Struthio camelus: one gene and its partner. The protein of the gene in region 1 interacts with the protein of each later gene in a pairwise test. Links are inferred from orthologs where the notes say so. Each region holds a gene or a part of one and is shown on either strand. Other genes may lie near its edges. The genes, in order: ID1 and MYF5.

The links.
Region 2: the proteins of ID1 (region 1) and MYF5 interact in binary tests that used the Homo sapiens proteins (3 or more experiments, as listed by UniProt). The link is inferred for Struthio camelus from reciprocal best matches to the Homo sapiens genes ID1 and MYF5.

The regions. Positions count from the first base shown.
Region 1 is NC_090959.1:18,476,725-18,490,915, reverse strand, and holds ID1 (DNA-binding protein inhibitor ID-1), read right to left. Parts: upstream 6,702-14,191; 5' UTR 6,663-6,701; coding exon 6,321-6,662; intron 6,078-6,320; coding exon 6,036-6,077; 3' UTR 5,824-6,035; downstream 1-5,823. Other genes in the region: bactericidal permeability-increasing protein-like, read right to left, coding at 65-125, 237-300, 408-563, 638-766, 855-969, 1,097-1,199. UniProt on the Homo sapiens protein: Transcriptional regulator (lacking a basic DNA binding domain) which negatively regulates the basic helix-loop-helix (bHLH) transcription factors by forming heterodimers and inhibiting their DNA binding and transcriptional activity.
Region 2 is NC_090942.1:45,729,149-45,745,428, reverse strand, and holds MYF5 (myogenic factor 5), read right to left. Parts: upstream 7,342-16,280; 5' UTR 7,227-7,341; coding exon 6,720-7,226; intron 6,157-6,719; coding exon 6,081-6,156; intron 5,929-6,080; coding exon 5,741-5,928; 3' UTR 5,487-5,740; downstream 1-5,486. Other genes in the region: MYF6 (myogenic factor 6), read right to left, coding at 13,888-14,009, 14,259-14,349, 14,623-15,141.

The DNA of each region.
Region 1 (14,191 bases):
GCCGGCCCCGTCGCGCAGCCCCCGCGGGCCCCTCGCAGCCCCCCCGGCCCCCGGCGCCCCCCACCTCGCACGTCCTTCAGGGCCTCCTGCAGCCTGCCGACGCCGCGCTGGAGCTCGAGGCAGAGCTGGAAGCGGAGAGCCGGCGTCAGCGAGCCCCGCGGAGCGGGGACGGGCCCGGGGCCGCCGCGCACGGAGGGACGGGGCCGCCGCCGCCATGGCCGGTGCCCGGCGCTCACCTGCTGGCCGAGCTCCAGGCGCAGGGGTCCTTGCAGCGCCGGCGCCAGGAGGTTGTAGAGCCAGCTGCGGGGACAGCGCGGTGCCCTCAGCCCGGCGCGCCCCAAAAGGGTCCCGGGGCACCGCCGGGGGGGGCCCCACGTGCCCGGGGGCCGAGGGCGCCGCGCCGTTACCTCTGCCCGTGGCGAAACTCCAGGCGCAGGTGGCCGACGCTGGCGTGGCAGCCGGCGCTCCGCACGGCGGGGTGGCCGCCGCCGTCCGCGCTCACCCCCAGCACCGCCGACACGGCCACGTCGCCCGCCTGCACCTCGAGGACGCCGCCGTCCCGGCTGCGGGGCGCAGCGGTGAGCGGGGGGCGCCCGGCCGCCCGTGCCGCCGGCCCCCCCGCCGCGCCGGGACTCACACTGGCCAGAGCTCGGCCGCCCAGTCGCCGCTCAGCCGGATTTGGGCTCGCCGGACCGTGAGCCTGACGCCCACGTCCTCCGAGAAGTCCACGGCGGAGTCGTTGATCTGCAGCTCGTGCACGCGGACCCTGCCGAGGCGGAGAGCCTGGGCTCGGCGCCGGCCGGCGCAGCACCCGCGGGGGCCCCGGCGGGCGGCCGGCCGGCGCGGGCTCCTACCGGGGCACGGCGAAGGCGAGCTGGCCCAGCAGCGGCAGGCGGTACGAGCCCGTCACGTTCAGCACGTGCTCCTTCTGCAGCAGCGCCCGCAGCCTCTCCAGCCCCACGCGCCGGCCTGGGGCAGAGCGCCGCGGTCGGGCACGGCCGGGGCCGCGGGGTGCCGCCGCCGCCGCCGCTGCAGGACCCGCAGCCGGCCCCCGCCAGCACCCCGCCGCGGCCCCCTCCCGGGGCGCCAGACCCACCGTAGTCCAGAGCCTGCCGGGTCACCCTGCCCTTGAGGCCGGGGTTGGGGGCGGCCAGGGCCGAGCCGGCGGCCAGCAGCAGCAGCAGGGAGAGGCCGGCCATGGCTGGAGCGCGGCGGGGCCTGGCGGCTGGAGCAGAGCAGGGTGCTGAGCACCGCGACGCCCTCACCGCCTCCTGCGCCCGCCGCGGCCGCCCGCCCCGCCACCACTTATATCGGGGCCGGGGAGCCCCGGGTGACATCAGGGGGGCTGCGGGGACAGTCCCGCCGCCGTCCCGGCGGGCGCCTTCCTCCGGCGCTTCCCGCACGTGCCGGGGCCACAGCCCGCCCTTGCCCAACGCGTGACTCAGAGGGGAAGCCGGTTCCCGCGCTGTCCGGCCCTGGGAGCGGAGCCGCCGGGGGGTCCCACGCGGCGCTGCCGGGAGCCGGGGCAGCCGCGGCGCCGGGCGGGGAGGGACCAGCCGCTGCCCTCCACGGTTTGCTTCTCTGCTTTCGTGCCGCTGTCGCCCCGTGGGGAGCACGAGCCGGCGTGCGGGTGCGGGTGCGGGTGCAGGTGCAGGTGTGGGTATAGGTGCAGGTGCGGGTGCAGGTGTGGATGTAGGTGCAGGTGTGGGTGCGGGTGCGGGTGCTGGTGTAGGTGCGGGTGCAGGTGCAGGTGCGGGTGCATGCTCAGCCCAGCTGGTGCAGGGTGCTCCCACCAGGCTCAGCCCCGGGGACGTGGCAGGCTGCTCCCCAAGAGGTGCCCCATGGCGACACGAGGACACGGGGTCAGCGCCGGTGCCCATCGCAGCCACGAGCCCACGGCTGGCGGTCCGCGGTGAGGGGAGGGAGCCCGGCGCGGCTGCGGGCGCCAGGGCACGCTGGCCCCCGCGCTGTGGCAGCCCGAGCGGGAGGGTGCGGGGCGCGCGCCCCGGCTGGCGTGTCCCCGCCGGGCTCCGGCCGCCCCGACGGCAGCCGCTCCGCCGCGGAGGCAGCGCGCTGGCCCGGGCCGTGCCGCCCCGCAGCACCCCGGGGCCGCTCCGCGGGAACGCGCTCCGGCCGGTCGCGGCCGGGAGCAGAGGCGGCTCCTGCTTCGGGAAGGGCCCCGGGGGATCCTGTGCGGGACCGTCCAACCGTCCCCCCCGGGCGGTGGGAACGGGGACCCGGCTGCCTGCCAGCACCTGGCGTGGGGACAGCCCGGCCGCCGTCCTGGCACGGGCTGCCGACGTGGCACAGGCTGCCGTGGTGGCACGGGCCACCCCCGCAGCAGGGCGGGCGGCTGCAGCCAGCGCTTGGCACCCGCGCTCAGCCCGAGCCGGCACCCCGGCAGCGCCCGGGACCCCCCGCCGGCCCAGCCCCACGCCGAGGAGACGGGGCCCGCGCCGCTCCCTCGGAAGCAGGACTCAGCACCCCCGGCGCCACCAGCCACGGCCGTGGGGACACCCACAGTGCCCGGCAGCGTCCCCACGGCCAGCCCCATGCCCCGGCCTGGCCCCCCAGGGCCCGAGCTGCCCCCGGGGCGCCCCGGCGCTCGGGCGAGCCTCACTGCGGCAGGCGAGCCCGGTGCCCCGGGCCGGGGGTGACGCGGGTCCCGTCGCGGTGCCCGCCTCAGCCGTCTCCCCCGGGGCTGCTGGTGGCAGCGAGCAGCAGGGACCTGCTCTGGCGACGACGTCCATCCCGGCGGCGGACAGGCTGGTCGGACTGGGATGTCACCCAGCTCCCCCTGTCCCTAATCCCTTCCGGGATGAGTCAAGTCCCTGTCGCAGCAACAGCAGCAAGGACCTGCTGGCGAGCGGGTGCCCGCCGGGGCCGGCCGCTCCCTGGGGCTGCCCGGCAGATCCCCCCGTGGCCGCATCCGGCATCCTGGCACGCGGCTGCCGGGCTGGAGCAGCGACGTGGGGCGGCAGACACGTCACCACCACGGAGACTTCCTCCAGCAGCTCCGTTTGCCACCTTCCACCTTGGCCGGCTGCGAACGAGCGGCTGGAGCGGGGAGGAGAGGAAGGCACCTGCGAGCAAGGCGTGGATGTGGCCTCTGCCATGGCATGGAGCAGGGCCCCAGCACCTCGAGCAGGGCCCCAGCACCCCAGCACAGCCCTGGACACCGGCTGCCTGCGCCCAGTGGGGCCACGAGCATCCCGCCGGCCGCGTGGCTCTTACTGCAGCTAGCACGGGCTCGACCCCGGTCACCCTCCTGCTGCCCTCGCTGCCACGGCCGGGTCGTTGGGACGGGGCTGCCGCGTCCTTCGGCAGCGGGCAGAGCCCTGCAGCGGCACCGCGGCCGCTGGAGCAGTGGCCTCGGAGCCAGGAACACGTGCTCGCCGCACCTCGCTGAGCCGCCACGGCTTTACCAACACATGAAGCGGCTGCAATCGTGCGGGGCCTCGAAGGCGACACTCGCCTTCCCCTGCCGCCGGCCATTGGGAGCCGGAGCCCGGCCCAGCACCCCGGAGAGGCTGCCAGCGCCTGGAGCCGTTGTGCCAGCGCAGCCCTGGCCGGGGCGGCGGGGCTGGGGGGGCCCGAGGTGGCTCTGCCCCTACACGGCCCCATGAGAAGGGGGTCGCTGCAGCAGCCCCAGCACAGCCTCTGCGGTACCCAGCCCAGCCCCAGGAGCCCTGCCAGCCCCCGGTCCCCTGGTGCCCCATGACCCCCAGGAGCCCCCACCAGCCTCCTGATGCCTCGGTGCCCCATCCCACCTCCAGTCCTTTGGTGCCCTGGGAGCCCTTCCCACCCTCAGGAGCCCCACCAGCCCCTGGCCCCCAGGAGCCCACCCCAGCCACTGGAGCCTGGAGCCCAGCCCAGTCCCAGCCCCTGGAGGCCCATCCTGGCTGGGCCGGGCAGCCGCGCAGTCCGAGCAGGCACCGGGAGAGGGACCCCGCGGGCCAGGAACGGGGACCGCACTCCTGCCGCCTGCCACAGCCGGCCCAGGGCCAACAGGGGCCGGGGCTGCCGGGGGCAGGGGGGATGGCAGGACTCCAGAGGGGAAGGCAGCATCCCACCCCTCCAACAGCACCCAAGCAGAGCCCCAGGTCTGCAGTAGCCCCTGCTCCATCCCCCCCAGGCCCGGCCGCAGTAGGGACCAGGGTACTCAGTCCTGCTTGTCCCCCCCCAGGAGCGGCTGCATCGCAGCAGGGGCAGCACCGACCACCAGCAGGACCCGGGGGCTCTGCACATTTTGGTGTTACTAATTCAGACAGTTTTTGCTTTAATCTAGAGGAGCGGGCAGGAGCTGAGACTGGGGGCACTGCCAGCCTCCCCATCCCCATAGGAAGGGCTCCAGCCTGGGCAGGTTGGGGACAGAAGCACAGGGAGGGTCACCCAGGACAGCAAAGCATCTCTGGCCCAGCCTGGGCTCTGCCACGCAGAGCAGGACCCGTGGCCCCGCAGCTCACCCGCTGCTGCCTCATGGCCAGGGCAGGGACGTCCCCGTTCCCCGAGGTACCTGGCCTCCAGCTGCCCTGTCTGGGAGGGGATGCTGAGGGACTGACTCACATACAGACACCTGCGAACATGCACGCACACACACACTTGCAGCCATGCGCAAACCCTTGTGAGCATGCAAACACAGCACACAGGTGCAGGTGTGCACACAGCTGCAGCAAGGGCTGTGTCACCCCTTCCGTGCCAGCAGGGACACGCTCCAGGCCATGCACGCCGGGCCTGGCCGCGGCGTCTCCCTGCCACAGCACAGAGGGCTCGGAGGCAGCCCAGGGTTGGGCACAAAGGGGGCACGGGGAGAATAGAGATGCATCCATCCACACCACTCAGCCGAGGCCTGGACGCAGCCCAGGGGGGCAGAGACTGCCCCACCAGCTGCCCTCCCCATCCAGCGGGGCCAGGGCTCTTGCAGCCGAGAGCAGCCTCCTGCCCCGGGCCGGGGCAGCGGGTGCCCTCAGCTGCCCTTCCGGACCCAGAGGACCGACCGGTCACATCCGCTCCCAGGGAGGGAGCTCAGCCCTGCATGGTGCTGGGGCAGGAGGCCAGCGCTGTCGCCACCACCAAGGCACCCTGCAGCCGTCACGGGATTGCACAACCCACTGCTGATGTGGGTTCCTGCTCCCCTCCCCAGGGCTGCAAAAGGGCAAGCGGGAAGCACAGAGGCAACACCAGTGTTCCCAGAGCGAGCAGCACCCCAGGCCTTGCGGGCACTCTCACCAGGGAGTATGCGAGGGGCTGCCCCACACAGCTGGGCCCCCCCCCCATAGCCACAAGCCTCCCAGCTGGGCCAAAAGGCAGTGACTCACAGTGACTTTGCACGAGTCACTGAACCACTGCACTGGCCCAGCTGGGAAATTGTGCAAGGCCAGGCCCATGCTGCTCGGCACACGCCATGGGGCAGCACCAGCCCTGGGGAAGCCAGTCTGGGCTGGCACCTGGCTGCACCAGCACCACAGGGCTCATCAGGGAGGGCACAGGGACGCCCAGGGTGCAGGGCCAGCCCCAGAGGCACCCAGGTGGGGGGGCAAAGCCCCAGACCTGGCCCCCTCCCACCAACATGCAGGGTGTGCCTGCCCACAGGGCCAAGGGGAGAAACCCCAGCAGCATCCCCCCATCTGCAGCCCCAAGGGGCACAGACACAGGGGAACGGGGTGGGGTGGGGGTACAGGGCAGTATCCAGGCAGGGGATCAGCAGAGCTGGGCTGCTTCCCAGACCCCAGGGCTCCCACACCCCACGGGGCACCCTGCCCACGAAGGGCTCCCACCGCCTTCGCGCTCCGTGGGCGGACAGGGCCAGAAGAGAGAAGCGTGCCTCGTAACCAGGGCTTGTTTAATAACAAAACTCCAACTATTGTAGAACAATATTCTCCAGCATCATTGTAATATACAATACAGGGAATGCTCTCAGCAATCTGAGAAGGATACGTGCCGCGGGGCCGCCCTCGGCACAGTCCCACGGCGGGGGGCGCGGGCTGCCACCCCCTCCGGGCCCGGGCCGGGTCCTGGCAGGTCCGGAGCAGGTCTCAGCGGCACAGGATCCGGTCCGCAGCGGGCATGCACGGAGCCTGCGGGAAGGGCGACAGGGGGCCGGTCAGTGCTGGCTTCGGGAGCCCCGGGGGAGCAGGGCGGCAGGGGAGAGCGGCCCCGGCTGGGGGCTGCTGAGCTGCCGCAGGTGGAAGGGGCGCCCACAGGGAGGTGCAACCCGCCGGGGAGGACGGCGGCGGCGCTGGGGGGCCCGGCGGGTTCACCCGGAGCGAGAGGGGTGTGAAAGCGACCGGGAAGGGGAGCGGAGCCGGGGCCGCACTCACCTCGGGGGGGTCCCCGCCGGGGGCGGCGGCGCAGGGCGGCCCCCGCTGCAGCGCCAGCTGCAGGTCCCAGATGTAGTCGATAACGTGCTGCAGGATCTCCACCTTGGAGACGCGCCGGTGCCGCGGCAGCGTGGGCACCAGCGCCCGCAGCCGCGAGTAGCAGCCCTTCATGTCGTAGAGCAGCGCGGCGGCGGCCGCCGCTTGCTCCGCCGCCCCCGGGGCCGCGGCGGTCGCCGCCCCCGGGCCCGGCCCGCACCGCGCGGCCTCCCCGGGCCGCACCGCCTTCAGCGCGCCGCCGGCGCCCGCGGGCAGCGGCGAGGGGGCGGCGCTGGCGACCTTCATGGAGCGGCGGGCAGCGACCGGCGGCAGCAGGACCCTGCGGGCGCGGAGCGAAGCGCTGCACTCCCGCCGCCCCGCGCCGCGCCACTTATAGAGCGCTGCGGCCGGGGGCGGGGCCGCGGGGCCGGGCTGTGGCCAATAGGAGCGCCGCAGGGCGGGGCCTGCCCCGCCCCCCCCCCCATTCATGAGCCCTGAAGGGGACTGTGTTAAAGAGACAGTGGCGCTGCCCCGGGGAGGAGCGGGTAGAGGCTTGGCGGGGGGGCGGGGGGGGGAAGGTCGGGCCGCTGCCCGGGGGTCACCGGGGGCCACCGGGGCACGGAGCACTGGGGCGCACCGCCTGCGCGGACACCTTTCCCCGCCACGGGCCCCGGGCCCTGGCCCCCCGTTCATGGGGCTGAGTTACTCTGCGTTCCTGGAGCTCGGCCCTGGTAGCAGAGCTGCTGCGGCAGAGGTGCCTCCAAACGCCCGGCTACAGCCTACTACGGCCGCCCCCGGGACCCTGAGACCCCCCTGGGCTCCTCTCCAGCTGGGCCCCTCCAGCCCGCGGACCCCTGCACCACCCCGGGCCCAGAGCCCAGCTCGCCCTCCTTCAGCCCCCCAGGCCCGCTGCAGCCCCCGGGCCCTCTGCAGCCCATGGCTCTCCCCAGCACCGAGGTCCCCTGCACCCCCGACCCACTGCATCCCCCAGGTCCCTGTATTCCCCAATCCCTACCCCCCCGGCCCCTGCAGCCCATGGCTCTCCCCAGCCCCCGGGGCCCTGCACCCACCAGGGCCAACATCCCCCAGGCCCCCTGCAGCCCCAGCTCCCTGCACCCACGGCCCCCTGCACTCAGTCCCTGCAGCCCATGGCTCTCCCCAGCACCGAGGTCCCCTGCACCCCCCAACTCCTGCATCCCCGACCCACTGCATCCCCCAGGTCCCTGCATTCCCCACCCCCTGCACTCTGGCCCCTGCACCCCATGGCTCTCCCCAGCCCCGGGAGAGCCCCTGCACCCCTGGCCCTGCACCCCGGATGCACTGCAGCCCCCAGGTCCCTGCATTCCCCGCCCCCTGCACTCCGGCCCCTGTACCCCATATCTCTCCCCAGCCCCAGGGTCCCCTGCACTCCCCAGCCCCCGCACCCCTCCCGGGCCCCCCGCAGCCCAGCTCGCCCCTTGCGGCCCCCCCGCCTCCCCGGCGGCTCAGACCGTTAGACGCCAGGGCCGTGACGTCACCCATTCATAAAACCCCGCGCGCTGTCAGCGCGGCGCCTCGCGGGCGGTGCCCATGGCGACGGGGGCGGGGCGCGGCGGGCGGCGGGGCTCGGGCCCCCCCGCAGCGCTCCCGGCCCCGGGTTCAGCGGGAGCCGCCGCGGGGCCGTGCCGGGCCCGGCTGGGTGCCGGGGGGCGCCCCCGCTCCCCCGACCCATCTTTGTGCAGCGGCTGCAAACGCGGAGCTGGGGCGGGAGGTCCGCTACGCCGTCCTGCGTGGCCGTGCCGTGCCCGGGGCCGTGCGGCACCGTGCCATGGCTGCGCCATACCGTGCCCAGGGCCGTGCCGTGCCCGGAGCTGTGCGGTACCCATGGCCGTGCTGTGCCCATGGCCGTGCCCAGGGCTGTGCCGTGCCCGGGGCTGTGTCGTGCCCATGGCCGTGCTGTGCCCGTGGCTGTGCCCAGAGCTGTGCCATGCCCGGGGCTGTGCCGTACCCATGGCCGTGCTGTGCCCATGGCCGTGCCCAGGGCTGTGCCGTGCCCGGGGCTGTGCCGTGCCCATGGCTGTACTGTGCCCATGGCCGTGCCCAGGGCCGTGCCGTGCCCGGAGCTGTGTCCTACCCATGGCCGTGCTGTGCCCATGGCCGTGCCCAGGGCTGTGCCATGCCCGGGGCTGTGCCGTACCCATGGCTGTGCTGTGCCATGCCACAGCCGAGCCATGCCTATGGCCATCCCTGGGGCTGTGCTGCGCCTGGGGCTATGCTGTGCCCACAGCCGTGCCGTGCCATGCCAGGGCTGTGCCACGCTCGCTCGGTGCAGGCTGCAGGTGCAGGGCAGCGCTGCCCTCCCGGCGCAGGGTGCCTCCTTGCCCCAGAGCGTGGGAGTCACCTGGCAGCTGGGGCCCCGCCAGCGCTTGGGCGCAGCTCTGCCGCCCCAGGCGGGTGGCCCCGTGGGGCGCTGGTGCCCAGGCCCCGCCGCGTGCCGCCTGCTGAGCCGCGGGGCCGCGGCGGCTGTGCCCGGGGCTGAGCCCCCGGCAAAGGCGACTCGTGCGGGGCAGGCCGACGGCGGCGCGCGGCACGGGCGGTGCGGGGCCGGCAGGAGGCCAGGCCGGGCGAGGAGGTAGCATCTGCGCAGCTGCAGCCTCTCGTGCAAGGCACAGCGTAAGACGGAACAGAAAACCAGTCCCTGCCCTAAAGGGCTTCCGATCCAAGCATTAATTAGCATTAATGATCGTTACCTTATCTTCGCACCTGTAGGGAGGTTCATCCAGGGTCTCGGCTAGACAGGAATGACGGGGCCGGGGCAGGAGGCAGCGGCGCCCTGGACCGCAGCCTCGCCAGCCGCGCATCGCGCAGCAGCCCCCGCGGGGTCCCGGCCCCCGCCTGCCGCCCGGCCGGCTCCACGCCGCTCGCGCACCGTGGCTGCTCGCAGGGCTGTCGGCGCGCCGAGCGGGCAGCCGGGGCCGCCTGGCGCAGCCGCCCCAGTCTTCCCCCCAGCCGTGCTGCAGAGGCCCCCCCCGGCCCCTCTCCACCCCCAAACGGCATGAAACAGCGCGAAAGCAACTGAAAAATCTCCAGGCAAAGTGGCAGCCCTTGTGCCCTGTACACGCGCCCGGATGCACACGCCGAGGCACGCGCACACGCCTGCGCGCCCAGGCGCCCTGGTGCACGGCCACGCACAAACGTGTGCACGCGCACACACATTCACGCACATGCACAAATCCAGCGGTGCGCACACACACACGTGCACACACACTCCCCCCCCCCCCCCCCCGTGGCGTGCCCGCGTGTGCCGGGCGAGCGGGAGCAGCTCCCCTGCCCCTGCCCGCGTGGGGCCGCGGGGCCGGCTGCGCCGCAGCTTTGTTAGCGGCAGCAGGAAGCAGCGACGGCCTCTGCGGCGAACAAAGCCGGCGCGGGGCTGGGGCGCCCGGACAGCGCGGTGCCAGCCTGCGCGCCCCTGCCCCGCGGCTCGCCACCCGGGGCCCTCGTCACCCGGGCTCGCCGCGGCCGCAGCAGGGCACTGCAGCGGCAGCGGCGCGGGAGCAAGCTGCAAGGGCGCGGGGCGCGCAACGCTCCGGCACGGGGCACGCAGGGCCCCAGCGCGGGGTGCATAACCTCTGGGTTGCATAAACCCTGCGGTCTCTGGCTCAGCCTGTGCCGGGCCATCTGGGGGGACCACATCCCTCCATCCCTCTGTCCCTCCATCCCTGCATCTGTCCTGCCCTCCATGCCCCCTCCGTCCATCCCTCTATCCCTTTGTCCTTGCATCCTTGTCCCTGCATCCCTGCATCCCTCTCTCCCTGCATCCCTTCACCTCTCTCGCCCTCTATGCCCCCCTCCCTGCATCCCTCTGTCCCTGCATCCCTCTGTCCCTGCACCCATCTGTCCCTGCATCCCTTCACCTCGCCCTCCCTCTGTCCCCGCGCCCCCCCGCCCGCGGTGGCGCCGGCGGTGGCGGTTCCCAGGGTGGGCACAGCCCTGGGGTCGCCCCCTCCATTCAGGGCCCCGCGGAGAGCCTGGTGCCTGGCCGGTTCCCACAGAGGCAATCAAAGCCGCTAATTAGCCCCCATCTGGCGGCGGCGGCCCCCGCGCACGGAGGCGCGCGGGACATTGTGTGCAGGAATGCCTTTCAGCGCCGCCGCCCGCAGCTGCGCCGCCAACAATGCGCCGCCGCCGCCGGCCCCGCTCGCCGCCTCCGGCCGCCTCAGATCCCCCGCCGGCCGCTCGGCGCGAATTAGCCAGATGTCAAAGCTCGGGGCCCCGAGGCCGAAAGGTCAAGCCCGGCCCCCGGGCTGGCGGCCGCCCCGGCGCGCCGCTCCGGCCGGGCCCGCGCGCAGGGAGCACCGAGCCGCAGGGGCCACGGCGGCTGCTCCGGCCCCCGTCCCGCTCCCGGGGCCGGCTGCTCCGGGGCGGCGGCGGCCGAGGGCCCTTCCTCTGCGCCGTGCCGGCCGCAGGGAAAATCCGAGAGGTGGTGGCGAGGCCGGGGCGGGCGCGCTGGCCGCGGGAAAGGCGGCCGGGCCGGCCGCGTCGGCCAGCAAGACGGATAGCTTCATTTCCATGTCAATTCTGGGAACGGGGCGGGCGGCGCGGTAACACCGGCTCGGCCATATGGCGCTGGCACGCGGCTGAGCCGCCGGCCCGGCCCGGCCCGGCACGTCGCGGCTGCTTTGCGCGGCGCAGAGGTTGCCCGGCAGCCGCCCGCAGCAAAGGCCGGGCGCTCGGGGAGGGCAGCGCGCCCCGGCCGCCCGGCGCGGCCCCTGCCCCGGCTCTGGCCCAGGCTCGGGCTCGTCCTGCCGCCCTCGGCCCGGCCGGGCGCAGCGGGGCGCCGGGGAAGCCCCGGCCTCGGCCCCGGGCGCCGCAGGGCCGGCGGGCGAGCGGTGCCGCAGATGCGAGCGGGGCCGGCGGCTCCTGCCGCGCAGCTGGAGCAGGGCCGAGGCCTGAGAAAGCCCCTGCGCGTTCCCCTCCCTCCTCCTGCCTTCCCGTCCCCGGCTCCATCCGCTCCAGCCCAGACCAGCTGGAGCCGAGCGGCCCTTCCTGGGATTTATTCCAGCTTCCTGCCCCTCCTCGCCGGCAGCCGCGGGCTGGGGCTGCTGGCGGCTGCTTCCTCTCCCCGCTCGCAGCCGCGCGCCAGGCGGGCCGGGTGCCGCCGGCCTGCACCCAGCACCCGCCGCCCGCCTGCCCCCGAGCCGGAGCCGCCGGGGCCGGGGCAGAGGAGGGGACGGGGACGGGGCGACGGCACGGGCCCGCTCGGCCATCCCCCGAGCCCTGCCCCAGGCGCCGGGGCTGCCGCGTTGCCCTCCCTGCTGCCCCAGAACCGCCCGCCGGGGCAGCAGCCTGGCCGCCGGCTCGGGCCAAGCGCCCAGCGCGGGGGCACGGCGGACCTCCGCGCCCGGCCCACGGCACACGATGCCGCCAGCGGCCCCGGCCCCGGCGGCTGGGACGGCTCGGGCGCCCCGGGGGAGATGCCCAGCGGCGCGGGAAGGGGCCCCCGTGGGAAAGCCCTGGTGCAGCCCCGGGCGCGAGGGGCGCGAGCCTGGGGGTCCCCGGCTGCCTGCCCACGTCGCCGCCCCGAGGCGCAGGGCAGGAGGCCATCGGCCCCGAGGCCACAGCAGCCCCCACCCCTGCGGCAGCCGGGCCCCGCGGAGGCTTCCTGCCGGAGCCGGCACGCTTCCTCGGCCGCGGCAGCCGGAGGGACCCCGCGGCGAGGGGGAAGGTGGCCCAGCAGCCGCCCAGACAGAGCGGAGCCAGGCGCCGCGCTCGGCCCAGGTGCGGAGGCGCGAGCCCGGAGCCGGCCGAGGCGCGCGGCCCCCAGCGCCGCCCGGGGGAGCCTCCGCTGACGGCTCCTGCCGGGGCCGCCGCGCTTCCTTCCTCCGCGCCCTGCCCTGTCCCCGCTTATCGGGCCGGGCAGGGACCGGGCGCCCAGGGTGCGGGTGACCCCGCTCTGCCCTCCCGGAGCTTTCCGCTCCTCGCAACAGGGCCAAGGGCCCTCAGGAAGCTCCTGGCTCGCAGCTGCACTCTCGCCGCACGCACCACTGTCACGAGCGGCCCAGAGCTCTGCGGGAGCGCAGGCCGGCCCGGGCAGCGGCAGAGCGGGGAGCGAGGACACGGGAGGGGGGCGCTCGGGGCAAAGCTCGGCAGAGCCTGAGGTACCACGCGCGACCCCACGCTCCGGCTCTCCGGAGGCAGCGCCGCAGGCCGGAGCTCGGCCGCGTCCACCCGCGCCATCCCTGCCCCGCGGGAGCCCACCGCGGCTGCAAACGTGGGGCTCCCCGGCAGCCTCGGGGCAGAGCGAGCGGCGACGGAGCATCCCTGCACCCTGCTGCAAGAGGGGCCGGAGCCGGGGCGCCCCGCCAGCCACCCACCGCAGCGCTGGGGCCACGCGGGACGTCCCCACGTCTGCTCTGCGCGACGCCCTGCCGTGCCCAGCGGCCGGCTGCTCCGCCATGCAGCCCGTGTCTTTTTCCATGGGACACTCGAGGCTGGTGGAAGCACATCTGGAGTCTAGACTCAGCGACTCCGTGGGCCGGGCCTGTCGGCCGCGCCGTGCCCAGGCCCTGCTGCACTCTGTTTGCTTAGCTGGAGGTATTTAATTGGAATTAAAGTGGCCTCTCTTGTTTTTGCGGACAGGGCTGTTGGAAAAGGAGCTGTAAGTCATAGAAAACATCTGTAGGAGACTGCGAAGGGTCATTAGATGGCAGAACGCGAGGCGCCACTTTTAGTGCTCGCAGCCGACATGGGGAATAATAGTTCAATACGGCTTTTGTGGAGGGACTGCCAAACCAGCAAACACTTTCTATTTATTCTGGCAGCGGGCACGGGTGGAGAGACGCGGGCTCCTCCGCGCGCCTGCCCAGAGGGCGGGCAGGGGCGACGGCGCGGTGCTGCAGAATGGCGGGGACGGCCAGCCCCGGGCAGGGCTCAGCGGCCCCTGGGGCTGCCCCGGCCCCGCAGCACCCGGCCCCAGCACGACGCGCAGGGAGGAGCAGGGGCAGCCCAAGTGCGTAGGTTCTGCCTTCCCCCTCTCCGGGGTTTCCAGGCCTGGTGGAGGTGCCAGGACTCCTCTCGGTCCCCTGGAGCCAGGCTCAGGGCTCGGCCCCAGCCGGACCCCTGCCCCCAGATCTCTTTCCCCACTTCATGCTGCAGGGCCAGAGCCCGGCGCTGCTCTCCTGCCCACAGCCGAGGCGGTTTAACGGGTCAGCGGCCACGGCACTAAATCTTCACTGCTGCCAGAAAGGCGCGGGGGGCCTTGGCTGAGGCTGGCCACGGGGAGAAAACAGCTGCTCGGGGCAGGAGGGGAAGGGGACGGTCACTTGGAAACAGCCGGACAACAGCAGCGCCACAGCCAGCCCCATGCGGAGAACAGAGCCGCTCCAGGCTGGGGCCTGGGGAGGGGGCTGAGCCCAGGCAGCTCAGGGGGCTGCGAGGCCCTGGGGCGCGTGGAGGGATGGGGCTGCAGGGCCAACCCCAACCCCAGGGCAGCCCAGTGCCTCACGGCACCGGAACAGGGAGAGCAGCTCCGTAAGTACCATAAGCAACTCAGGGTCTCCACTAAGGCACTGAGAGCTGCTGTGCAGCCTACAGGGACAGCGCTCGAGGGGTAGGAGACCTTGGGGCAGCAGCAGACCCAGCCTGCGCTGCAAGGAGAGCAGGGAGTCACGCTAGAAGCCCACAGAGCAGCCAGTGGGACCGTTCCTGGCGCTCCCTTATTCCAGCACCCCTGGGCCCAGCCAGAACAAATTCCTTCCTTTGAGATGGTTTAATATGAGAGAAAGCAAATGCACAATACAAAATTTAAAAACGGGCCTGTGGTTCGCTCCCCACCCACTTTGTACCCATGAAGGAGA
Region 2 (16,280 bases), on another chromosome or scaffold:
TGACTCTGCTCCAGCCCCCTCTCAAGGTTGTTTTTAAAGCTACTTTCTCAAGCAGCTTTACTTGAGCTACTGAGATGAAACTGAGTAGATGAAAGTTGCATCTAAGAAAGACTTTTGGCTGTGAGCTCTACTGTCTATAGAGGTGGTTGCCACAGGCCTGCAGGGAAGTAATAAGTGTGGGGAAGGGATTTCAGGTATATGCTTTTGTATACCTTCAGCGTGTCTAGTGGAGAAATTTCCTCCTCTGCATTTCCAGTAGCGCAGACAATCAGGATGCAGAACTGCAGTATTAGCTCAATTTCAAGGTGCTCCAAAGCAGCGATTGTATTTTCAAACTGGAACTACTGTTTGATTTCCTGTTTCTTCAAAGCACTACAATGTGGACAGTAAAACAAACAAATCCCCTCTTTTTTATGTTTGCAAAAAAAAAGTACAGCATTTTCCATATATGGTTTAGTAAAACAGGGAAATGGGGGGAGCAGAACAGGCTTTCGGTAGATCCAAATACTTCCAGCTAAAAAAAATGAACCCTTTGATGGAGCAGTGGTGCTTTTGCTAATGACTACTTTGCACTGAGCTATACATAGGTTTAACTAAAGTTATATTCACCGTCGTTGTTTGCTCACCATTAATGAAGGAGTTATATATTTATTGTTTAATAAATTGTGTGCAATCAAACAATTAAAAGCAATAGGCTTGATTTAATCCATCTTCTGGCTCCCTAGGTTGTGTAACAGGCACCTTATCTTGACTTTTATACTCCGGAAAGACTTTTGCTGGGTACCTGAGTCCCTCCTGGGCTTCTGACTCCTACTGCGATCAGTAGGAGTTAGGTACTTAAACATAAAAATCAGAGCCAAAGCTTTTAAGGCTTCTTTGTAAGACTTAAAATTTTTCTCTTGGGATAAATTCTATAGGAATTTTTAGAAAAAAAAATCAAACCAGTTCAGAAGTACATGTTATTAGAAAAAGACTGGAGGAATAAAGAACGAAAGCAGGCAGCAAGGGAGACCTATGTGCACTGATACTTTTCAGGCATGATGGGGTTTATCCTCTTCTGTTCCTGCTCCAACTTTGAAGTCTCTCTCAGAGACTACCAAATTCACGAGCACTTGATTTAATGCAGACACTGAACTACCCTCCTGATCAATCACTGGGCTGGCTGACCCTCACATATCATGCTGACTATTACTGTCTTCAAGAGCAGCTGAGCAGTACCTTTGGCATCATAGCCACCAGTATCTTCCAGCAGGTCATCAGGCAGTCAGGAAATGTTACTGACATGCAAAAGGAAGCCAAATGCCAGGGCTGGATGGTCCCTATGTGCAGCTGGTGTGAGGAGCAGAAACCAAAGGATCTTTGAGAAAGTAGCTGGGCTCTGTGGTTTAGTGGGATTGGCAGGAGGTCCGTGGGCATCCAGGGTGCACAGGCTCCTGGAGGTGGGAAAACAGGGTATCTGCTGAACCAAGGAAATGTATCACCATGTGGGTGGGAATAATGGGAATAATTCTCTGAGTCCAGTCCTGGCCTGGTGGATGAATATGTCTTTTGGACTGAATGGGCAGAAAAGAGTGACATGGAGGCAAGGAAAAGAAGGCCACGGCTCAGAGTCAGCAGCCTAAGCTACTATCTGAGGGAAAACATTACTAAAAAACAGGAAAAACAGCTCTGCGGTCTCTCTTTCACTCCCCTGCCCCGGCACAGGGGCCGGACTTGGCCCCATCTCCAGCCAGCCACGCTCCCTGGGGGCCAGCTGGGGCCAGCTGTGAGGCTGCCACCCCAGCGGTGCTGCCGAAGGCTGGCCAGCAGCCCGTGGGCAGCGGCAGGTCCTCGCCGCGGGACCCCACCGTCCGATCTGGCCCGAGGAGCGAGAGGAAGGGAGGACGAGCCGAGGGCGCTGCAGGAGGAGGGAGAGGAGAGCGGGGAGACACGAGCTGCCTGCTGCCACCAAGTCTCACCGCTCCCGCCAAGCTGGAGCGGCTGAGACACTGAAATAGCGACATGGTTGAACTGGGAGGATAATTATCCCCCAAGTGCAGCCACGAATCTGAGATGTACCTAGGTAAATTTTGGCAAACAGTAGGAATTACTGTTCCTCCTGGAAGAGGAAGATTGATCTTTTTCCTACCAGGGAAAATATGTGTTTTCCCGCAAGCAACTCAAAACTCTAACCGCGGAGCAAGCAGGGTTTTTTCTATTTGGAAACAAGCATGAAATATATGAACTCAAATGATCAGCATTTAAAAAGACATAAATGACTAAAAATATTGGGGTAGAATTTGTTTTTCAAACTTAACTATAAGAAGCACTGCAAGTGCTCACTGTAGCACACAGGGATGCGCACGGCAGATTATCCTAAATATATAGGCACACACCTCAGAAGGGAAGACACTCCTAAAAAAAACAAGTGTCAGATGGAGAGTAGGCATGCTCTCACACAAACACTACAGCTGAAAAATTAAGTAAAAAAAAAAAAAAACGCATACACATTATCAGTCATGTACACACAAGTAACGTGAGCATCATATGGAAAAATCTTCCAGAAATATGCAAGCGTATATTAAGGCATGAAAATACAGGCCCTTCAAGGCACAGTTTCCTAGCATTCAGCCTAAAGACCAGCTTTGCATCTTTTCTGATGCTAGCAAGGCAGTTCCAGAAAGCATCACTTTTTTGGACATAACTATCCATAATCTTGTGTGAGGAAAGCTTCCTCTGAAATGCACCATGAATGCATGTGAGGATTTGCTGTGCCTTAGGGCTCTTAATTCCTTGAGTAGACATATTCCTGACGTTGTATTTAAGAGGTTTTTGCTAGGTTCCTATGTCAGTTTTGTAACTGCTGATGGATCTTCTGATCCAAGACTAAAGAATTTATGTCACTGCAGATTTCTGCTCGGCTTCTCAATGAAATATAAAATAGGCTCTTCACAGAAAAATAAGGGCAGCTGCTTCCTTCATTCAGAACATAAGCCAAGAAAGTATATTTTTCAGAGGTAAAATTGAAATATAATATGAATTTTATGTGAAAAAATGTACAGAGTCAATTCTTCACTGCAGCGAGTGATAGATAGGAAACTTCAGGCAAAGGAGAAAGTGGTCTGTGTTACATTGATCTGACACTGTGAGGCATCGCTTCACCCACTTGATAGCGTGCAACATCCCTGCGTGTCATTAATATTAAGCCAGCTATTAAGAGTTTAGAGAGAGCTGGAGCTCAGGTTTTCCAGACCATCATCTTCTTACACATTTGTGGGGCATAACCCTCTTTAAGTGAATGTGATCTGCCTAGAAGCCAAACCCTTCTTTTCAGTTCCAATTATTTCTGAATATGCAGAAGCTGACCACAACAGCGCATCTCCCAAAATAGCAGTAATTTTACGCTTTGTTCTTCCCAATCCACAGGCTAAAGATGGGGTCCGTAAGTAGTCTTCCACCTCTTTTTCACTTCAGATAGCCACAGATTACAGCAAATTTCGTTTTGCAGGAGCTTTGTTTATAGATGTCCTATAATTAAGAGCTGGTTTTCTTGACGCATAAAAAATTGCCCTCGGATTGTAATCTAGTCTAGAGCGGCTGAGGAGGCTACGGACAAACATCCCACAGACTGGATACTTCTACTCGCTCACTCGCTGACAAGCTAGTTCTCAAAAGTATTGACCTTTTTGCAACTCTTAAAATGTCTGCCAGCCAAAGAGAGGTGTCCATTACCAGCATGTGATTTGCTGGTGCTGCTCTGCATACTTCACAGGAGGTCGCTTGCCAAGGTCAGCACTGTGCAGATTGAAATGCAGAAAGTTCTCCAACTTAGCTCATTTTAAACCATCATTTAAAATGATCTGCGTCGTATTAGATGCTGGCTGTAAACAGTACCCTTGAGACAGTATTTTGTTTGGGAGGAGTGATTACTGCAGCAATGTAGCCATGCACGAGCTCATGACTAAACCCAGAGCTCTTCCAGGCTTTGCGTAAGGGTTTCTATGAACAGGAGGCTCCGGAAGTAATCGTCCGTAGCCAAGAAAGTCTGTTTGAGTCAAGGCACTTGCATGCTCCTGAAGCGTCTGCAATGACAGCAATGTGCTAATATCTTGTTTGTAGCTCTGCAGAATCCAGGCGTTTCAAAGCACTTTTTCTACTTGATGGCTGTTTGGGACCTGTGCATACACACAGAAAAAACTATTCTGGAAAAAGCTTGTCCCGGGTTACTCTGCAGGAAGGAAAACACTTACCTCAAGATTACATAGCAAGGGCATAAGGTGATTTGCAAGGAAGTGTTGGCCTTGCCCTCTGTCAAAAGTACAGCTGCCCCAGCACAGCTGAGCCCAGCAGGCAGGTCACTTTCCTGTGGGCTCCTGGGGGGAGTAGCCCGTCCCGCCGGTGTGCTGGGAGGGCTGGGCCGTCCCCCAGCGAGACTCTCTGCATCCACATTTTGGGGTCGCTGCCAAAGAGCGGTCAGGTGGCAACTTTTGGTGACATGACTAAGCTGGGCTGCGCTCAAGTGAAAGATTTATCAGAGATGAAATACCGCTTCCAGGCCTCTTGGCCACCCATTGCTAACAACATAAACACAAATGGCAAATATGCCCTTATCCCACGCTAGTGAAGTGTATATCCCTTCCCACTTGGAGTATTTATCATAGAAGACATTCCTGGATGCCCTGAAGGAACCCATCTCTCCCTCTCTTCTCTTTCTCTTTAGTGGGGGCTAGAAAAGTTTTGGATTACAACTGGAGAAGAACAAAGGGCTGGACATTTTTCGTGGTAGAAAGAGTTAGATATAGTGCCTGGAAGGAAATATTTGTTAACTCGTGAAGACTTGACCTGGCTATTTCTAGACCCATGTGACTGCAAACATTAACAAATGAGTCATGAACTTTCATCCTTACTGGTGGGACCAAAGGCATTAGGAGCAAATACATCTATATTACTTTCTGAACATTGTGAGATGTACCTTGTGGATTGTGAAAGAGATATTTGCGGTTTGTTCTTACTAACTCTACTAAATTTGGCTCTGTGAGAGCAGTGAGAGTAACAGAGAGCAAAATTCCCCTGTGGAGTATCAGAGCGAGATCACGCAGTTGACTGACACTGGAGAGCCATCATGCAATTTCAGGGCCAAATCTTGAAGTACCTGTTCAGCGTTCATGCCCACTGGAAGGAACAAAGGCTTTGCTAAGAAAAAAAGACGACTGCAAGACATCATTTTTACTCCTTCAGACGCCAAAGGAAACTCCGCCCACAGCAGCAGAGGAACGGGAGGGAGAATTTGACCCCGCAAATTTTTGCTCCTCCATGAGCAACCTCAGAGTAAAACCCACTAGTGACGGGAGAAATGAGCTCGCAGGCCGCAGCCCCGCAAGACGTTACACCTCTCCCCCCAGCACCGCCCAGAGCCGGGGGGGGAGGGGGGTCACCAACCGGGCTTTGCTGCCCTCCCGAAAACAAAACCAGGGGCCGTTTTTAAAGAACCACCAGGCGAAGCAGCTCTGTTGCAACAGGTTTTATTTGCAGCGGGGTTGCCGGAGAAGCCCGCGGGTGCCGCTCTGGGGGGAACCCGGGCCGGGACCCGGCGGGGCGCGCTGCCCCCAGCCCCGACGGCCGCGCTGCTGCTCCCCAGCTGCGCCGAGAAACGTTTGCAAGAAAACCACGGCGAGGGGGTGGCAGCGGCCGCTGGGGCAGCCCCCGCGGCAGGGCAGGGGCGGCGGGGGGCGGGCGCGGGCTGCCGGCCCCCCTCGGCCCCTCATAACGCCTGGTAGGTCCGTCGGGGCGGCGGCGTCCCGGGCGTCCCCGGCCCCGAGTCGAGGCCGGCGCTGGGCGAGGGGGAGGCGGCGTCGCGGAGGGGCTGCTGCTCGGCCGGGGAGAGGCGGTCCACGATGCTGGAGAGGCAGTCCAGGCTGGACAGGGCGCTGCTCTGCTCCGCCGCGTAACCTGGGCACGCAGGAGGCGGCGCGTTATAGCGGGCTCCGCCGCTGCCCGCCCCGGGGCCGCCGCTCGCCCTTTCGCCCCCAGCGCCGCTGCAGCCGGGGTGCTGGGGGGGGGATGGTTGGGGCCGGGGGAGGGGGGTCGGGGTCCGGGCTTACCGTGGGCCATTTCGGAGCAATAGACCGTGTCGAAGCTGCTGCCTCTCGCGGACCAGCCGGGGCTGCTGCATTCAGCCTGCAACACAGCGAGTGGGCATTGCCCGGCACTGCCCGGCCTGGCCCGGCCCGGTCCGGCCGCCCCTGGGGCAGCGGGGCACGGTGAGGCCGCGCCGCTGCGGTGAGGGGCGCCCCCGGAGTGAAAGCGCATCGCAGCCCGGCCCGGAGCGAGCCGCGGCGCCCGCAGAAGACTTGGGACAACAGCCCCTCGGCAAGGCTTGGCCGGGCTGGTCCTATCTCCCCGGTCCCCCTCTCTGGGGCTCCTCTCTGCCCTCGGCCCCCCCCCCCCCCCCCCCCCGCCCCACGCACTGCCCCGCTGCTGCTCGGCACTAAGCTGGAGGGGAGGCGGAGGAGCCCGCGGGGCGCTGGCTGGGTGCCCTCTAGCAAGGCCTGCGCGTAACCCCGAGCACGCCCAGCAGCCCAAGTGAACGTGCTAAATCCGGGAAGGGGCCTGTTTTAACCAATCGCATCCCCATTTTTCTGGCCTTGCTGCATTCAGCCCGTCGCAGCCCCCTGGGACCTGCCCTCCGGCCCTGGCCAGGGGGACCCCCCTGCGGCCCCACCACCCAGCCCCTCTCTTACCATCCCGTCCGAGCAGCTGGAAGTGGGGCTTGTGGGCTCGGAGCAGCTCTGTCCTGGCAGGTGGTAGTAGTTTTCTACCTGTTCCCTTAAGAGCTCCTGGAGGCTCTCGATGTATCTGATGGCGTTTCGCAGGATCTCTACTTTGGGGAGTCTTTGGTTGGGGTTGGCCGTGGTGCAGCGCTTCAGGGTCTCAAACGCCTGGTTCACTTTCTTCAACCTCCTCCTCTCCCTCATGGTGGCCGCCTTCCGCCGGTCCATGGTGGTGGATTTTCTCTTGCAGGCTTTGCAAGCCCACATGAGGCAGTGGCCGGCCTGGTGGTGGCCGGTGGGAGCTCGGACGTGCTCCTCTTCCTCGGAGCCGGCTGGCTCGGCGGGCGGGTGGGCTGCGAAGGCGGGCAGGTCCCGCGGCTCGAAATCCTCGGCGAAGTCGCCCTCCGGGGAGGAGAGGCAGGAGCTGTCATAGAAGAGCTCGGCCGGGGAGAAGTGGCAGCTGTCCATCACCTCCATCGCGGCGGCGGCGGCGGCGGGCGGGCGGGGGGCAGAGGCGGGGGCAGCCGCCGGCTCTCGGCGAGTCGCTCTGCAGCTCGCCGGGGCAATTTCCTCAGTAATTAGCGACCCGAGACGAAGTGTCCTTTGGCTGATGCGGGGGGCCCTTATATATACATGTTAAGGGAGGCTGGTCCACAGCGGCCACTCTCTATTAGCATATCCCACCACATCCCCTGCCGGGGGCCGTCTGGGCAAACCCCCTGCAGTCCCCAGGAGACAATTTGCTCTGCACCGCTCCTTTGGGCAGCCGGCTGCGCTGGGCACGTTTCTAGCGCACAACCTCTGCAAGGCTGGTTGCGACACGTCCGAAGTTTAAACCAAGGCGGAAAGCTGGCAATTTTGGTACGAAAAGAGAAAGGGAGGTAATAAAAGCAGACGAACCGCTGACATTTCCTCCCGCTCCTTTCATAGTAGGTTTGTCATCGTCTCCCATCCTATGCCGCGATGCGAGGACACCGGCTGTCCCTGCTAAGGTGTTAACATAGAGCCTCCCATAGTTCCTGCACTGCGACTGTGGTGTCTTTATGCCCCAGAGCTCGTTGTCCAGTTCTAGCCTGAAACAATTTACCCCTTTTTTCAGACCTAGTATTTTGTCGTTTATCTTAGGGAGTGCTTTGTCTTGCAATTAAAGTTTTGTCATCAAACGTTTAAATTGACAGACTGGAGGACAGAAATGCACAGCTACGTGTCACAAGGTGGTGGTGGTGGTGGGGACGCAGGTCAGGTTTTAGTGCTCTCGGCTCGGGTCACACGGAAAGGTACTCACAAAAGAAAAGTGTGCGAGTTTGGTCCTAGGCAAATCCCCTTCCCATTCTTTCTCCTACTCGTGTGACCTGGTGCTGCTTAGAGACACAACAGTCGAGCAGTGCCTTGGGCTTGCTAATTTTCTGCTTGCAGGCAAACTTGTACCGTTACAGATGCGTCCCAGCTGCCAGTGCAACAAACCCCTCCTGGAAGTGTAAAATTTCTAACCCCGCAATCCCTAAGTAACTTTACACAAGTCAGGGACAAAAGCTTTGCAGAGATCCAGCCGCAGCAGTAGCTCAGCGGAGCTGTGCAAGGGTCATTAGAGTGGTAATGAAGCCATTTAACAGGCATTTGCTAACGCGCAGGAATCCTTTGGTTTCATCCAGGTGGCTTTTGTAGTTGAGGAAAATATTATGAGAGGGCAAAGGCGACCTTCCCTACCTGGGAATAAAATTATGTTACCTGGGTTAACTCAAACCGAGAGCAAGTGACCCAACAGTGATTCAAACGCTAGGGACCTGGTCTGCGTACCCAGGAAAAAAGTGTCTTCAATTAGCCTCTCCCAAGGAAGAGGCAATATAGGGGACGTTTCGATCCAGTTGTCTTATGGAGCTTCAAGTGAGCAGCGCACTGGAGAGCTGCCTTGGCCGGGAAAGGGTCCCCGGGCCGGGCCTGTCCGCTAGTCCCCGTCCCAGCGCCCCTGCCCCGAAGGAGGCGGATTTTAGCCCGAAGGGCTAAAACTTTTCCTAAAGAAAACTGCAGGCACGCACACACGTACACCCTTCTTCCTAAGAGCGGATGCATAATTATCTAAAGGCTTGGGAAGGCTACATCTGCACTGCTTCGGTTTATTTGGGGCCATAAACGAGGGGAGCCCCCTTTGAAATGAATACTGTAGGAAAAGCAGAAAGTTGATAAAGGAGTAAAGTTACAGCAAGGGGAAGGCGCAGAATTCCAGCCTTCCGCCGCTCCGAGGTGCAGGTTGGTGTGCAGTTGGGCCACGTCTGAAACAAGGCAGTTCCCTATTGTTTCCCCCAGAAACCGCCGGGCAAAGGAAGCGGGTCTGCTCGGCAGTAACTTGAACTCTTCGCCGGGCTGTGCGGGCACGCACACACATACACACGCACCACACACCTTTTGATTGACCGCGTTTGCGCTGGCTAAAATAGACCTGTTTACAGATTTCGGCTTTGTGCACAAATAAAACTTGATCTTTAAAGTGCTGTAAAGTGCCATCACCGTTCAGTCGTTTCTCTCCAAGCCCTGTGTATCTTCGGGTGCACATTGCCAGTCCCCTTGCTCTTGCTCGTCTTGCATGTGCAGTTTTAGCTCGCAGCTTTAATTCTTAATCCAGACGGGCTGGGGTTGTTGAGAAACGTGCCTTTTCCCCAAAGTCTTTGAGGACCTAAGAAAATTTGTTTCTCTTTCCCTTGAATATTTGGGGGAGGGGGAAGAAAGGATGGAACAGCCTGTCACTCAGGGAAAAAAAAAAAAAAGGTCTGTAATTAGTATCCCTTAAGAGAGCCTAGCTCCTCTGGTAAAGTGATCTCAAAACAAATTTGCAGAAGTGCAGCAGGCGAGTGGAACTAAAGAAAGGGGTGAGAAAACACAAACTACAAGGCTGGCTAATGAGGCTGCTGGTTGCAAGGGGCGGGGGCGGGGGGGGGGGGGAGATGGTGCGGCACTTCGGGTCTCCGGAGGCTGAAGTCCGGAAAGCGAGAACGGCCTGAGCACTGGACACTGCTGGTTCCCGTGGACAAGCAGGGAGGAAGAGTGAAATAGTGAACGTGGCAGGACCTCTTCAAATGGTCGTGTGTCGTCCCCCCCCCCGCCCCCGCCCGCAGCAATCGCTCGGCTGCAGCTATTTCTGAAGGGACTCAATCCCCCTGTGCGGATCCTTTGCAGAGCTTGCACTCCTTTCTCAAACCCTGTGAGTTTCGCTCTTAACAAAGAAAACTCCACGGAAACAAAAAATAAAAATAAGCAAGCGAGGGCGGGGGGCGCCTCGGCTTTGCACCTCGCGTCTGTTAAGAGCAAGGTGAGGGATGCGCAGCTCCCCCAGACCGGGAGATTTCCCCTCCCTGGCTTTGCCAGAGCGATTTCCAAGTGCGGAACAGCGACCAGCACCGAGGGCGGTTTTTAGGGGTGGCTGTCATTTAAGAAGCAAGACGAGCGCTGCAGCCAAGCGCTGCTGCGTGCGGGGGCCCGAGCCGCGGCGGGGCACGGCCCGGCAGCCGGCGGGCGGCCAGAGGCTGCGGCGAGAGGCTCCCGCTTCGCTCTCGGGCTGTTTCCCAGTCGGGCCCGTGTGGAGCCGTGTGAGAAAAACGTTTGGTTTCCCCCAGCGCTGGGAACCGTGCACACCTAAGTAAACACATTAGTACCTGCCAGGGGGATTTGTATAGAAGACAGCTGAAGAAGGCATTGGCCTCTGCTGGCATTCTGGGACTCCCAAGAGAGATCAAAGGGACACGAGGGGGTTTTTAGCAGCCTTGAGACTGGGAAAAGTTGCTAGTTCCTGCTATCGAAGGGACGTCCCAGAGAGCACATGGTTCAATTATTCAACCTCTTCCCTCCCCTGCCCCCCACTCCTATTCCCCCCGTCTGGAAACCAGCTCATTTTCCACAGAAAGGTGAAAGCTCTGGAAAAAGCGTACGGGTCCCTCAACCCAGCAACGACCCAAGCAGTATTTTTTCCCTGCGGGAAATAGCTGTTGGGTTGAAGCCTGTCCGGGTTGCCTTCGAGCTCGGAAAATAAGCTGAGCCCGCTGCCGGCCGGCCGCCCCCCTCCCTCTTCGCTTTGCAGACAGTTTTACAGAGGGAAACGCAGATGCAAAATAAAAATTGGGCTTTAAAACACGGACGTTTCGGCGTCGTTTCGGAGGAGAGCAGTAACAAAACCGAGTGGCCACGCAAATACACCGTCTCCGCCGGTTGCTTCTCCCGGGGGCACAGAGGGGCCAGCGCAGCCCCCGAGGGCGGTTCAGCCGCGCACCTCCCGCCTCTCGCGGCGGCGGCGAGCAGGTGGCTCCCCAGGGCGGCGCGGAGAGGCGAGCCTTTGGCACAGGCTTTTCTGGAGTAGTGCTCCAGATGGCTTGTTTCGTGATAAATACACTGCAGAGAGAAGGGGGTGTGGGGGGGAACGTTTTTGTATTCATCTAAAGTTTGATAACTTTGTTCGTGGCCCTTCTGGAAAAAAACTGGATTAAATCACAAACCTCTTGTCCTTACCCAGTTATTATCCTTTGATTGTGTGATTTCAGGGCCCTGTTTGCTTTGGCTTTGGGCTTAGGTAAAGATTATCGTTATTAATATCAAACACAAACATTTTAACTGCAAACACAGTGAGGACCTTCGCTGGGAAGCTCGGCATGTCGGCCGCAGCCGCGGGGGTCACGGAGAGTCTCTTCGGGAGGTATTTTCTTTATTTAATGAAAAACCTTCGTTAGTCAAACTTACTCCAAACAATCGCTCAAGTTACTCTGCTGCTGAGGGCGACGCTGCCGTGGGGGTCCGACCGGGACGACGGGGCAGTTTGTTGAGGTTAATTGCCCGCATGAGGATAAATCTAACAGCAGGCGGGGTGTTTGCGTGATACTGTATTTTCGAAGGTGCTTCAACACAGTTCTTGCTGTGGAAAGTGGATCCTACGGGTTTTCTTTCAGTGGGATTTTGCCCGAGACGTAGTGAACTGTATGGTAGCCCTTCTCCTTAATCGAGTGAGAATCGAAACAAGTTATTAAGGAAGGCGATCGGCTACGAAACCGATTCGAAATTTTCCATTCCTAATCAAACCCCTTGATTACAGAAGCCTCTCCTTGATAACAGCTTCGCTCTTTCGCCAAAATTCAGAGATTGCATGCAAAAATCGGAGTTCCCCGAAGCGCCGCTTTCCGAATAGCCCGCGGGTGCCCTAAGGAAAAGGGTTTATTTCAAGCCAGAAAAGGGGGAAAAACTGTCTCCACGTCCTCTCGCTACATGCCCATCACACTATGTCGCCGCAATTAGTCCTTACAACAGAATATCCCAGCAGAGAGCAGTTAGAACAATTACTTAACCGGTTTAAAAACCAAGCGGGCCACGGCGCACGAGAAGGGCGAAAGGACGGCACCGCGAGAGAGACAGCTCAAGGAAGGTCTCTTTCAAGAGCTTCCCTTTCCGACAGACGTACCCGTGCCAGTGCCGGCCGAGAAGGGTGAGACCTTCCAGAAACGTGGCTGTGACCCTTCAAAAAACAAAAACAAAAAATAAATCAAGGGTTAAAGTTGACCAGGAGAGCGCCCACGGGCAGATTTAAAGTAGCAGCCCTTTGCTTTTGTCAGCTCGTCTGGAGAGCCCCCGTGTGTGTGTGTGTGTGTGTGTAACGAAGAGTGTGTTAGTTCCTGGTGGTCGCCCCTTCCTGGGATTATAAACAATCTGTTACAAGCCGTAAAGTTCTGACTGTGCGTAGCTCCCGCTCCACCATCCTCAGAGAGCCTTGTGTTTTTTTACATCACTGAGTGAAAGGCTTCATATGTTGGGCCCCCCACCCCACCCCCCTTTCGGCCACTTAACTCTTTCCTCCCTGAGGGACCCCGTTCTCTTTTCCCTCAGGCTCAGGGAAGTCAAGGGGAGTTACCTTTCCTCGGAAGAAGTCACAGCCCTCCAGCCCCCAAGGGAGCTGGCTCCTGTCAGAGCCTTTCGCTGCCCCATTAAGGTAGCAGGCCTATAAATTGTGCTGCAGACAGGGCCTGGGTTCAAGTCCTCCGGCGCCGAAAGGAAAAGGTGAGACGCGCTGAGAAGATCAGAGGGAAGGCGATAAATTAAAACCCGGGAGGCCGAGCCGCTTCTCAAGGACTGGGGCTGTGCTTGGGCTTTCCCCTTTCCCCTGCAGCATGTGCAGATCAGATAAAATAAAGCTCTGGACAAGGCGGGAGAAGCGTCCTGGCGAGCTAAGCAAGTGGCGTTGTCGGACGTTTGAGGGGAGCAATAATAAAGCCGTCCGCGGCGCGGAGGCGCGTTTCACCAAGCACCGCAGGGAAACGGCCCGCGGAGCGCAGCGCGCCTCCAGGCGCTCGCCCCGGCGCCGCGGGTGCACAGCTCCTTCCCGGGCACCCCCCCACCACTCCCCAAACGCCTGCCCTGCTTCCTGGGGGAAAAACAGGGCAGGGTGCGGTCCTAGGCAAGGAGAGGCACTCCCCAGAGGAGGAAACGAAGGAAAATCTGTCCTGAGTGCAGCCTCCCAGTCACACAGCTTTGTGCCTCGGCTACATAAGGTCTGAATCTTCGGGGCTTGATCTCGCTGAAGTCAGTGGCAGATTTTAACTCCAGGATCGGGTTATTATTTAATTACGGGGAGGGGGAGAAACACTGTAACACAAAGAGCTTTATTTTACAATCCAAGAAATCCGTCTGTTCTTATATACAATATCACATTCCATCATTTAAATATATATTTGTCATGTTTACAAAAGAAAAGACAGTACTAAAATTATTTACAGAAATGAAACGAGGCGGGAACTCTTTAAATACGGGCTAACACGAAATGCAACCAACAGCTTCACTCAGATAGGAATGAACTTTTCGGTGAGAATCAGACAAAGCGGATCACCGCTACACAAGTAAGTATCTTAAATAAAAAAGGGAGGAGGGGTGGTCTATGCAATGAAGTTTAGAGAAAACAAAACTCAGGAAAAAGAAAAAGAGGGGAAAGAAAAGGGGGAAAAGTCTGTATGGTTCGAGTCGGTGAGGGCCATTTTCTTTGGGGAAAGTGTGCCTTGACTCGACCTTAACAAGGCCCCTGCCTGGGCTTTCCACTATATTAACTTAATTCATTATTTAGGTTGGGGAGGGGAGGGCTCCTTCTCCGTTAAATATACTACCAGACCGACTGGATTTATTTCTCCACCACTTCCTCCACGCTGGGTAGTTTGGGCTCGTCGGAAGAGATACTGTCCACTATGGAAGAGAGACAGCGAAGGCTGCTGGAAGCCGACGACTCGACGATGGAGCCCCCTGCTTAATAAGAAAAATAAGAGTTTACGGAGCAAACGGTTCCTCCTCGCTAGACACCTCTCCGGGTGCGCGGAGCCGGCAGGAGAGCGGGAGCGCCGCAGGGTGAGAGACCGAAGCCGCCCGCGACCGTTAGGGGCTGTGACCGTTGGGGGTAACGGCGCGGCGCGCGCGAGGGCGGGGGCGGCGGGCGCCGGCGGCCGTTAGCCAGCTCGGGCGCCGGCTGGGCTCGGAGACGGCGTTTGTGCGAGTTACCTTCTTTGGGGCTGACTCCTAGCACTCGGGAATGATCGGAAACGTTTTGCCACTCGGAGCTGCAGGTGCTCAGGAAGTCTGAGCTGGGGATCTGAAGTAAACACAGCGGGTTGGGGGGGGAGGGAGCGGGGCAGGGAGAGACACAGGGAGACGACATGTGTTAGACAAGTGGGTCGCGGCTGCCCGCTGGAGAGCCGAGCAGCTCGCAGCACCGTCTTCGAGGAGCCCCTTTCGTGCCTGCTAGTCTGCCCGGCAGCCCGGGCTGGCGCAGGGGCCGTGTTAAGGACGAGGGGAGGGGGTTAGGGGACGGCGGTGCCGCGGCTGGATGTCAGGGCGGCGGGAGGAACCAGCCGGCAGCGCTTACATTTCCCTGCTTGGGGCTGAAGCTGAAGGGGTCGCCCCCAATCTCCTGCATTTTCTCCTGCTGATCCAGCCTGTGCAAGAGGTCCTGCAGCCGCTCGATGTAGCTGATGGCGCTCCTCAGGATCTCCACCTTGGGCAGCCTCTGGTTGGGGTTCGCCACAGTCCGCCTTTTCAGAGCCTCGAAGGCTTCGTTGATCTTCTTCAGCCTCCTCCTCTCCCGCAGGGTGGCTGCTTTCCTCCTGTCCGTGGGGGCCGACTTTCTCTTGCAAGTTTTACAAGCCCAGATCAAACACTGGCCGGGGCAGTGAGGGGGTTGTAGTCCCGGGGGTGCCAGCACATGCTCCTCTCCGCTGCTGTCACTGCCGGCCTCTGGTGGCATTTGGTCCTGACAGGGGGACAAGGTGCCCTCGCTGCCCGGGTACAGGGGGGAGCCCTCTGCCATCTCCAGCTGCTGCAGGGCTCCATTCTCCCCGTCCAAGTAGAAGAAATAGGAGCCAGTTTCAAAAAGGTCCATCATCATGCTGTCCCCTCGGCCTCTCTGCCTGCTTGAGTTGGGTGGCAGGCTCAAAAACACCCCGAGGAACAACCCAGATGGAATTTAATTAGTGCAGTGACATAAGTCCCCCCTGCTTTATATAGGAGCTGCTGAAACCCTATCCAACTTTTAGCTGTCGCGGTGCATCACCCTCCAAATCTGATTCCAACCAGTCTCCTGGGCGCTGTCCTGAGAACATCTCCTATTTAGAGGGGGGGGGGAGCAGGAAGGGAGGGGAACAAATGTAAAAAAAAAAAAAAGGAAAACAAACGAAAAATAACCCCCCTCCCCCACCAAAAGCTCATGAGCTCAGGCTGGAGCAGACGGGTGCGAGGTGGGGGTGAGGAGAGCTGTGGTGGAGCGGGCACGGCTAGAGGACAAAGGCACGGGGCTGTGACTGAACCCTCCCCCAGCCCACCCCAGCCCGGCCACGGCCCCGCTCGCACACACGCACGCACGCACACACACACACGCACACACACACACACACACACACACACATGCACACACCCCGCACGCTCCTTGTCCCAGTGCTAAGTATAGATCTATAAGGAGAGATTTCAAAGGCAGCCATGACTCTCCAAATAGATGGTTTAATATTTTCAGAAGAAGCCCTTGCTATTCCTGCCCCCCCCCCCCCCCCCACCATAAAGCATGCCATTCCTGTGACCCAAGCTGCCCGGGCCAGCCCAAGGTTAGAAGCCAAGCGCACTGTTCTTCCATGCACAGGGGGAAGGTTGCCAAGGCAGAGCCTCGCTGCAGTGCTGAAGCACTCATGGTTTTGCATCTCGGCATAGGGCTTTAAACTGAACTTCCCCATGCTGCCCTTGAGGTGACAGAAGTGATTCCAGGTGACTGGGTTGCAGCCTGGTGGGGCTCTCCAGACAGCCCCTATCCTCGGAGGTGTCTAGGGCAAGCAATGCCCAGGCATCCGTTCCAACTCCCGTTACTCCCTTGGGCTTGGCAAGACACACAGCTTCCTGGCCCTTCAGCCAGAAATGGAGCTTGTGATCACTCTCTGTTAGCTTATAGAGTAACATCAGATCAGGTGTAGGCCTCTCTAACCTCAAGAAAGAGAAGGTAGGGGAAAATGACCTGTTTGCTTCTTTCCCTGGGCTGTCTTG